Linked DNA regions of Ovis aries. The protein of the gene in region 1 interacts with the protein of each later gene in a pairwise test. Links are inferred from orthologs where the notes say so. Each region holds a gene or a part of one and is shown on either strand. Other genes may lie near its edges.

Evidence for each region.
Region 2: the proteins of LITAF (region 1) and HIP1 interact in binary tests that used the Homo sapiens proteins (3 or more experiments, as listed by UniProt). The link is inferred for Ovis aries from reciprocal best matches to the Homo sapiens genes LITAF and HIP1.

The regions. Positions count from the first base shown.
Region 1 is NC_056077.1:10,788,402-10,793,644, reverse strand, and holds the start of LITAF (lipopolysaccharide-induced tumor necrosis factor-alpha factor), read left to right. Parts: upstream 1-1,496; 5' UTR 1,497-1,658; intron 1,659-5,243.
Region 2 is NC_056077.1:34,460,521-34,465,779, forward strand, and holds the start of HIP1 (huntingtin-interacting protein 1), read right to left. Parts: upstream 3,314-5,259; 5' UTR 3,293-3,313; coding exon 3,173-3,292; intron 2,598-3,172; exon of another isoform or gene 1-2,597. UniProt on the Homo sapiens protein: Plays a role in clathrin-mediated endocytosis and trafficking. Involved in regulating AMPA receptor trafficking in the central nervous system in an NMDA-dependent manner. Regulates presynaptic nerve terminal activity.

The DNA of each region.
Region 1 (5,243 bases):
ACTAGCAGGATCAGGGCTGCTGTTATTACTCTAGCAGGATAATAGAGGCTCTTGTCAGAGATGCAGCATCTATTGAGGGGCAGTGAGTTGATGGATGTTGATATAGTGGGGGCAGGAGGAGAAGGGGACGACAGAGGATGAGATGGCTGGATGGCATCACCGACTCTATGGACCTGAGTTTGAGTGAACTCCGGGAGTTGGGGATGGACAGGGAGGCCTGGCGTGCTGCAATTCATGGGGTCGCAAAAAGTCGGACACGACTGAGCGACTGAACTGAACTGAACTGAACTGAAATAGTAGTTACTCATTTCCAGAGCTTTCAGTGATTGAGTGAGAAAGTAGCAGGGGCCACAGGACACCCTGGGTGCATGCAAAGTATTGGGTTGGCCAAACAATTCATTTGGGTTTTTGTTTCATCTTAGGGAAAACCTGAATGAACTTTTTGACCAGTCCAATAGTTAGCAGCTGCTGCTGCTCCTAAGTTGCTTCAGTTGTGTCCGACTCTGTGAGACCCCAGAGACGGCAGCCCACCAGGCTCCACCATCCCTGGGATTCTCCAGGCAAGAACACTGGATCGGGTTGCCATTTCCTTCTCCAATGCATGAAAGTGAAAAGTGAAAGTGAAGTCCCTCAGTCGTGTCTGACTCTTAGCGACTCGGTGGACTGCAGCCTGCCAGGCTCCTCCGTCCATGGGATTTTCCAGGCAAGAGTACTGGAGTGGGGTGCCATTGCCTTCTGCGAGTTAGCAGCTAGGATAGGTTTAATTTAGCACAATCTGTGCTGAACGCTTTGCTTGCATTGTTCAGCTAAATCTCTGTGGATCTTACGAGACAGGTACTGTTATGCCCATGTTACAGACAGGAGACTGAGGCCAGAGCAAGTGGGCACATGGCCAAAGGCACATAGATTTTCTTGGGTTGCCTGGATGCATCTGAATGCACAGAATTGAGGTATGGGGAGAAAAGGGCCGACTTCCGGAGGGCAGGGAGCGCTGGATGCCTTGGCAAGGGATCTGGAGGTGATCAGCATTGTCTGAGAACCGGGAAGGAGAACAAATGCCGAAGATGGGGACCCAGGGGCGCAGGGGAGAGCAGAGTGGGAATGGAAATCAGGAGGGGAGTTCAAGGTTGTGCGGGCACGTGGCGCGGATCCACGAGCAGGAGCAGAACCCGAAAGGGGAGACACTCTCTGAGAGTGGGGTCTGGGCTGAAACTAGGGGGTTCCAGGGAGTGAGCGGGGTCTAGGGGTGTCAAGGGGGTGTTCCGAGGGTAGCGGGAGATCGGAGCGGTGGAGGGGAAGGGTAGAAGCCAGAGGGTCGCAGGTCCCTGATGGGGTTTCTAGCTTGGGGGAGGCGGCCCCCCGCGAGTGGGAAGGATCGGGTCCAGGCGGCGCATAGAGGCGGGGACAAGCCGGAAGCGGGAGCCGGAGCGCCCCGCCCCGGCCGGTCCAGCTCCCGCCCCCCGCCTTCAGGCGCTCCTCCCCGCCGTCTTCCAGCCAGTCCGCCCCCCAGCTCCATCTGCTCAGACCTCCCGGCTCGACTGGCGGCGCGCGCGGCGGTGAGTGAGGAGCGCGTTGGCTGGCGGCGGGGGCGCGGGCTGGGGTCGCCGACGGGAGGAGGCAGCGACCGGGGTGCTGATCCGCGGAGCGTCGAGCTGGTGGTGGCTGGAGAGCGGGGTCGGTGCGGCGCCAGCACCAGCTCCGGACTCCGCGGGAGTGGTGGCGGTGTCCCGGAACCCTGGCGGGTCCCCGGGGTTCGAAGTGGTTGGAGGGCGTCGGAGTCCCGCCGCGATCTTCCACGCGGGGCCGGGGAGGCCGGGCTTCCAGTCACTTGGCGCTTGTTCCCGCCGCAGTCCAGGCAGGGTCCCGTTCCTGCTCCCCGAAGTGAGCCGATCGCCCGCGGATCGCGCGCGGTGGGGTCATCCCGCCCTCACCTGAAAGCGCGCCCCGTGTTGCTCGCGGGGGTCTCCTCCTCGGGAGAGGACACCCCGAAGCTTTTCAAGAAAGTTTCGTCTCGCTTGGTAGCTGCTCTCTCAAAGTTGAAGTTTCCAGACTTATTATCGCACGGCTATTCAGAAACAAAACCAACCAACCAAACAAAAAAAGCCCAACAGATTTCCGACGCCGGTCCCAGAAATTCGACTTCTGGGGTCCACGATATCTGCTTTTCCCCGCCATCCCCCGCTCCAGGGGGTTCCCCATAGTATTCAGGACCGCTCTCGGCGGACACCGGCGGGCCTAGGGAGCCCACGAGAGATAAAAATTCCGGACACAGAGCAAACGGAGCCAGGGCCCTGGCTAGACCCCTCGCGGGGAGGGGTTGTGGGGGGGGGGAGCGGGTAAGGTAGGCACCCTGTGAGCGCAGGGGTCGGCCGGGACCCCGTCCACTGCCGCTGCCAGATACATGCCAGTGGCACAGGCCGGCAAGGTGGACATTGGCCCTCCACGCCCAGCTAGGTAGGTGGCCTCTTTCTCTTTGGTTTCCAGGTCACTGTGATCTGGGCAGTGGAGTCATTGTTATGCCAGAAACCCTTCATCAAGGTCAGGACAGGAGGTGATGGGGAAATGGGCAATTCTGGACCGGCTGTGCATTCCAGGGATCAGGCCGGCTGGTCTTTGATTAGTTGTCTGGTGGCTTTTGTGCTGCCGATAAGTGGGGCTGATGTCATTGCATGTCGGACTGAGCTTTGGTGGCTGGGAAATCCAAATTCTGGAAGGCACAGGGCCTTCCCATCTTAGTGCATCAGAGTAAGACTCGCCCACCCATCTTCCCAAGGGGAATAAGCCCTTGGCTGGGTGAGCTGGTGCTGGTTCAAGGGCTGTCTGGAAGGCAGGTTGGCCCTGCAGTTCCCCTGGGGCCCTTTTAAGGAAAGATGTGGTTTGCATTAGTGTGTGCTTGACTGCCTCCCCTATCTTCTTACCCCCCACCCCGCCCCCTGGCCCTGCCCAAGCCATCTCTGATTGACTCTTACAGTGAGACTCACCTGGATGTGGTGTCCAGCGTGAGCTGGTATCTGGGACTCCACCAGACTGTTTGGTTTTATCGAAGTTGACTTGGAGGAGGCCTGCAAGCAGGACTTGGCTCTACCTGACGTAGAATAATACCCATGCTGCTCCTGACTTACCTCAACCAGGCCTTGCACTGGGGTTTAAAGGTGCCCCAGACTCTCTAAGAAACGTCTATTGTAGATCTACGATGGGAGGGGCCCATCTTCCCCCTTTCCTGTTACTTGAAGGCATGAATAATAGATGCTTTTATTCACATTTGTGAAAGTATCCTCATTGTAATGTTTTTGTGGATTAAGTGACTCACTGATTGATCTGAGATGGAGGATCAATTTCTTAAGTCTCTAAATACTAGATTGAAGTCATTTCACTGTCTCTGGTGAGTAAACTTTCCTTTGTTCCTTTAGTCCCTTTTACTGGATGGTTGTGGGGAAATAAAATGCTACTCTAGCCTTGTAAAGGACACAGAAGAAATGTCTCTATGTTCTGAGGGGTTTATGCTGCAGTGGAAAGTGGAAAAAAACACAGGTGGATAGTCAGTGCTCAGCAATGCCCTTTACTCTGGAAGGATTGAAAGAAATGGAAAGGAGTGAACTACAAGTCAGGGAAAATTTCATAGGAAAGCAGAGACCTGAGAATACATGTCATAGAAGGTACATGTATTCCAAATAAGCAGAAGAGGCTCAGCAAAGCTTTGGAGGAAGTGCAGGCTAGCCCATAGTTGAGGACAGTAAAAGAGAAGCCACTGAGAGCAAAGGAACTGGAAGGCATTTCCAGCCCAAGTTTATTTTCAAGGAGATAGACAGGGCATGCTTCCTTGCTTTTACCCACGACTGGCAGTGCTATGGTGCCACTCTGAGAATGGGAGTATGCCCATCAAGGACTTAAAATTCTCCTGCTGAAAATGAATCAACCCCAGCTACAGTGATGGTGGAAAAAAATGAGTTCCATGACTCGAAGTCTTAGAGTTTTGACACTGTGACCTGTCTTCTATTTGTTTGTGCTTTTACTGCAATGAAAATAGCTCACTGGGCAGTGTGGTCCGTCTCACCAAGCAAGTAGCCTTCCTTAACTCATCGGGGTTGAGCTCTAAGTGGTACTTTCCTGGGTCCTCACAATTTCATCTTACTGTTTGCACCTGCGCTGGGGCTCAGGGCAGTCGGGATAACACTTTTGTGGCCAATGAATTTGTCTTCTGACTGCAGATTATTTCTGTGAAGAACTGTGTGTACTTTCATAAGACTTAGGGCCTGGACAGAAGAAAGTAAATATCACGGGTGTCTCAGTGGCAACTCCCTGTTTACCTAGTAGGTAGGAAGTTAATTCACCGAGATCCGAAAAGTCAGAGGCACTTTCTTCTTCGTGGGTGTTAACGTCAGGGAAAATAATGGTGAAGAATTTAAGCTATTTAGCTCATGGGGGTTTCTTCTTTTCTTTAAAAAAAAAAAAAAAATTATTTATTTTGGGAGATCTAACCCATGCCCCCTGCAGTGAAAGCAAGGAGGAAATCCTGACCGCTGGACTGCCAGGGAATTTCCTCTCATGGAGTTTTAGAATTGACAATGTTCCTGAGGTAAATGTAAGAGCTTAGCATTGACTCACCCTATCCGTGAGTCCAGGGAGATTATTCATAAAGGCTGCATTGGTATTTTTTAAAGTTATGTAAAAAATAACAATATTACAGAAAGCATGAAAAATAACGAAGCGTATCCGGTATAATCTCAGCCTGTGAATGAAACAGCTAGCATCAGTTTTCCTTATTTGGCGGCTTCTTGTCATGGTGCCTGCTTTTTTATGAAGTTGTAGTCAGGGTACGAATAATTTTGTCTCCTGATGCAGCCCTATTAATGTTCTCATTGTGCTGTTTCATCAAAAACCGTCATTCATGTGGAAACTGGGGATGTGGTTTCACCAGGAATCCAGGGGGGGAATTGTTTCCCTTTGATTCTGGGGGCGCAGCCCAGCTCCCCATTGGAAGCATTTTCCATTCCACAAATCACTGTAATTTGTACTTAAGCCATATTTGAACCTGACTCTCAGATTGTGGTCACTTTATCTCTGCCTGGTGAAAGAAACTGAATTCGGAAGATGGAATGTGAAAACATGTCTCTGAAATCTTTCCCTGCGAGCTTCTGTGCTTTTAACGGAGGTAGGCTGAATTTATTTGGGGTTCATTGGCCTAAGAACCTTAGTGTAATTTCTCACTTCCTCTCCCGAAGAGAGTTGGAGATCCCAGTTTC
Region 2 (5,259 bases), about 24 Mb from region 1:
TTGGACCCAAGACTACAGTCACTTCACCACTAACACCAGCCCTAGGCACATGAGGACAGAAGTTCGAGTGAGACACCGTCCCACCCTCAGGAAGTTCACGGGGTGCTGGGGGTCACAGGGAAGCGGGGACAGGACAGGGAGCAGGTGCAAGGCGTTTGGAGGTGGGAGGAGCCTATTCTGCTCTGTCCACCTTAACTGATGAATCTCATTTACACCCGCCTCCAGACCATACCTTTTCTCCTGGAATGCCCCATCCCTCCTCTCTCCCCAGCAAGTGCTGGCTCAGGCTGAAGGATGGGGTTCAGACCTCGCAGGGCTCCCACCCGCTTCGCACCCTAACAGCCTGGACTTTAAGCAATCACTCCTGGTAATCACTGCATTAACCAGGAACACTTCTGTCCCTCTACTGAACAGTTCATCACAGCCTGCCCCAGTACTTGGCCTTTTTTCTGGTCCCCTCTCCTCCTCAGATTATAGCAATCATCATCGCCACAGTGCTCTCCAGTTTACAAAATGCCTCCAGGTATATTATTTAATCTAGTCTCCCATAATCAACCTGTGAGGTAAGTAGTATCCTTATTTTGCAATAAGGAACCCAAGGCTAAGAAAAGCTGGAAAACTTGCCTGGGACCACAGCCCCTCCATGTGCCTGGCTATCAAATTTCAGCCTCTTCCAGTTCCCATACCAGTGCTCGGCCCAGTACTCAGAAGCCACACAGAGCTGTGGTTAAAGGTTGGGATCACAACATGCTGTCTGACCTTGGGCAAGTTACTTAACTTCTCTGTGCCTCAATTTCCTCCAGATAAAATGTGGTTGATACTCACCTCATAGGTCCTTGTCAATATCACCTCACAGTACTTTACTGAAATTAAAGAAGGTGATACAATAAAGTACTCAGAAAAGTGCCAAACATAATTAGTTACAATCATCCGCCCACCTTCACTGATTCCATGGTCTCTTAACTCATTAAATTTTTTTTATAACTCATGTTCATATGGCTCAGACTGTAAAGAATCTGCCTGCAATGAGGGAGACCAGGGTTCGATCCCTGGGTTGGGAAGATCTCCTGGAGAAGTGAATGGCTGCCCATTCCAGTATTCTTGCCTGGAGAATTCTGTGGACAGAGGAGCCTGGCAGGCTGCAGTCCATGGGGTAGCAAAGATTCAGACACGACTGAGTGACTAACACACACATACATTGGGTAAGTAGTCATTAAACAATACACATTTTTGCAGATTGACTAAGGTGAGGTTTTTAGAATTGTTCTCTTTCCTTTTCTTCACTCTCTTATTGCCCTAATAGTTTCAACAACACAGAAACTCTTTTCCTGATTCATTCTACCTCCCTTACACACACACACACACACACACACACACACACACACACACACACACACGCCACTAGCTCAAATCTGGCCAATTATCAGTGCCCCACAGAATGTAAGATACTGCCTAACACTGACCTAGACTCTCCTTGTTGGGACGTCCCTGGATAGCTAGAGAAACTTTCACAAACCTAATTTCCATCACTATAATGGGTCAAACTCTTATGTGTATTTCTCTATTGCTCCAGTTTTTACTGGAGACTCTAAAAGGAATGAATTACCATTTATTTTCCTTGTCCATTACAAGAAAGATTTACACTGTTTCCTGGAGCAAGAAGCCTTGTGTGCCCAGGCAGCTAGACGAGGGCATAATGCCCATAGCAGACAAGCATCTTCCTTCCTTTCTGGGGTCCAATCCACAGAATTAGAAAATAAAGCTTAAACCCAGCCAGACCCTGGGAGAGAGAAGTAAAGAGCCTTCTCTCCCATCCCGTGTGGGGTAGAATGATGACCTAGGGAGGGGACACTGCCTACTTTACACCACCTGGACACACCTGTGAAGGGCCAGAGGTGCCTGGAAAAAGAAGAGGAATTAGTCTCCTGGGTTTTCATGAAAAGTTTCCTTCTTTGCAAGATTCCCTACATGGAACACTCGATCAGGACCTCACAATCTTTATCTAAAACCCCACTGCCCTTCCTTCACATGGTACTAAGTTTGGGGAGGGCGGTGGGGAGCAGAACAGAACGGGAGAACCAGCTTCTGGCAGCGGAAGCCCCCTGGCTCTTCAAAGGTTTCACTCCGAGAGCAAGAGTGAGCGCGAGTGAGGAACAAACTTGCCCATACAACTTCAGCAGTGGGATTAAAAGAAGTGCTGTGCCCTTCGAAATGGATTTTGCATACAAACCAGCCGATGAACACCATAAACATGTCAGCTTTATTCAGTCCAATCAATACACCAGGCATTAAAACTCTGAGGTAAAAATGGATTGTGGCTTTTTGTTGATGACAGTGAGGAATTTTGGCCCCTAGCCCTGCTCAGGCTGGACAATTTAGGGCAGGCTGCCTATTAGCTGTCAGGCACATTTAGGGGGATGAAATCAAAACCCCGATTCAGGGTTCTGGGCACCCCAGAACAACCCAACTTGACCCGAATCGGGGCCACTGGTCCAGGACCCTCAATATCTGTCCTTGGGCCGGCCCCCTCCTCCAGCCCCCGGTCATCTTCCAAACTCGGCCACACACCGCATTTCCTACATTCCTTCCTCCGGGCTCAGACCCCTTCAGTCCGGTCCTCCGAGGCCGACAGCTGGGGGCTGGCGTGAGCCAAGCTAGAGGCACAAGGAAGGGGATGCTAGGGACGGGGGGAATGTCAACGCAGTCCTGAAGTGATCGAGCGGAGAGTACAGGGCGCCCCAGCCCTCACATTCCCGACTCAGCGCCCCACTCTCTGCAGCCACACTTGCGACCCCCAGCGCCACCCCCCCCCCGCCAGGGACCTTCCCCAGCTAGGGGCACCCCTTCCATTCGGCCCCCTTTTCGCGTTCCTTCCCCTCTCACCGCCCCCGTGACCCCTGCCCTGCCCCGCCGGGACCGGCTCCAGTCGGTCGCACCGCGCGGACCGTGCCAGCTGCTCAGAGCCGCCCTGCCCTCTCCCCCAGGCCAGCCGGGATGGCCCCGGGGTCCCCGACCTTCCCAGACCGCCTTGACCACCGCACCAGATGCCCCCTTGCTCAGTCCTTCCCTGGGCCTGCAAGATCCCTACTCCCTTCGAGTCCCCTCCAGGACACTGCGGGATGCCCCAGCCGTGCACGACCGGGGGTGTCCCCCACCCCGCCCCGGTCCTCACCTGAGTCCGCTCAAAGCTCTCCCGCTCCGCAGCCTCCATCCCCGCGCCAACCCCACGCCGGCTCAGCACCTTCGGCAGGGGGTTGGGGACCTGCTTCATGGAGCTGGCCATCCGGTCCATGTCGCCGCGCGGAGCCGAGTCAGGGGCCCTCAGCCGCCCCGGGATCCCCACGGCGCCGCCCGCCCCTCCCTATCCACTGGGATCCGGCGCTAACGGGAAGGCGCCCGCCTCCCATTGGCTGAGAGCGCTGCTACTCTGCCGAGGCCCCGCCCCAGCCCAGAGGCTTCCCCGTCCGCCCCCGCCCTCTCCAGAGCCCCCGCCCCGGCCCTACCCTGCAGGGCGCTCCGGACCGTCAGGCGCGCCGGGACGGGCCCGGAGGCCTGTCGGTCACCGGCCTCCACCGCCCCTGGCGGGGGCGGGCCTGACCTGCCCTAGCCCGCCCCTTCCCCGACGCCCAGAGCGCGGCTCTCCCAGCCGCTGGCTGCACCCGCGAGCTCCCAGCGAGCCGCACTCTCCCAGTCCCCCCACCCCACCCCGGGCGCCGCGAGGTCCCGGCTTGGTTGGTGGGCGGGGGTCAAGCTGGCGGTGAGTTGGGCCTGCCGCAGGGAATCCGGGCCCGCGTGGGACTGGCCTGTTAACTCTTTTCGGGCCGGAGACAAGAGCGCGCGCGATGGACCAGCTCGGCGGCCCCTGTCCCAGGATGCGCTTGCCCTGAGGCCGGGCCTCCGCAGGTTGGTTCAGCGGGTCGCAGACCTGGCCGGCGTGGGTAGCGGCTCCCACCGCCTTCTCCCTCGTCCTGCCCCTGCCCCGAATCCCTGCCCATCCCTTTTGTAATGTTCGCAGACCAGGGAGCGCTGGGCTGGGTCAGTGGAAACTTCTCGACACCTTTACAAACCTCTCACCCTCTGGATCTGGTCAGGATGTATTCGTTGGTAGAAACCCATGTGGACATTTTAATATTTATCCCCGGCTCTGGGACACCCCTCCCATCCTGCTCCGTCGTCAGCCAAGGTACTGACGACAGGCGTAGGGGGGATGGAAGGGGGTGGAAGTAAGATCCTTAGCCGAGATGCTGAAGAAAGTTAAAAGTTTTCTGTTCAAATGCCAATTTTGATGTTTTAAAAATAAATGCTTTTTGCAACTCAAAGTAAAGAAAGGCGTTACTTTTTTTTTTTTTTTTTTGACTAAGAGCTTTTGATAAAAATTCACACATTCAATAGAGAAGCAGAAGAGGGGGTGGGCCTATGTAGGCACTGGGGAGCCTCTGACGGCTTTGCCAGCTGGCATCGTGTGGATGGGATTCTGGGGGCGACGGGAAGGAAGGGAACCAATGGGGAGACTCCGGCAGTAGGTGAGAGCCCACGAGGGCCTCCACTAGCAAGCCAGGAGAGAGTTCAATCCTGTGGGAGGTTCTGTGAATCAGTCAGTTCAGTCGCTCAGTCGGGTGGGACTCTTTGAAACTCCATGGACTGCAGCAGGCAAGGCGTCCCTGTCTGTCACCAACTCCCAGAGCTTAGTCAAACTCAGGTCCATCGAGTTGGTGATGCCATCCAACCATCTCATTCTCTGTCGTCCCCTTCTCCTCCTGCCTTCAGTCTTTTCCAGCATCAGGGTCTTTTCAAATGAATCAGGTCTACGCATCAAGTGGCCAAAGTATTGAAGTTTCAGCTTCAGCATCAGTCCTTCCAATGAATATTCATGACTGATTTCCTTTGGGATGGACTGGTTGGAGCTCCTTGCAGTCCAAGGGACTCTCAAGAGTCTTCTCCAACACCACGGTTCAAAAGCATCAATTCTTTGGCATTTCTTTATGGCCCAACTCTCACATCCATACACAACTACTGGAAAAATCATAGCCTTGATTAGATGGACCTTTGTTGGCAAAGTAACGTCTCTGCTTTTTAATATGCTGTCCAGGCTGGTCATAGCTTTTCCTCCAAGGAGCAAGTGTCTTTCATTTCATGGCTCCAGTCACCCTCTGCAGTGATTTTGGAGCCCAAGAGAATAAAGTCTGTCACTGTTTCCATTGTTTCCCCATCTATTTGCCATGAAGTGATGGGTTCTGTGAACAGGTTTGGACAAAGTAA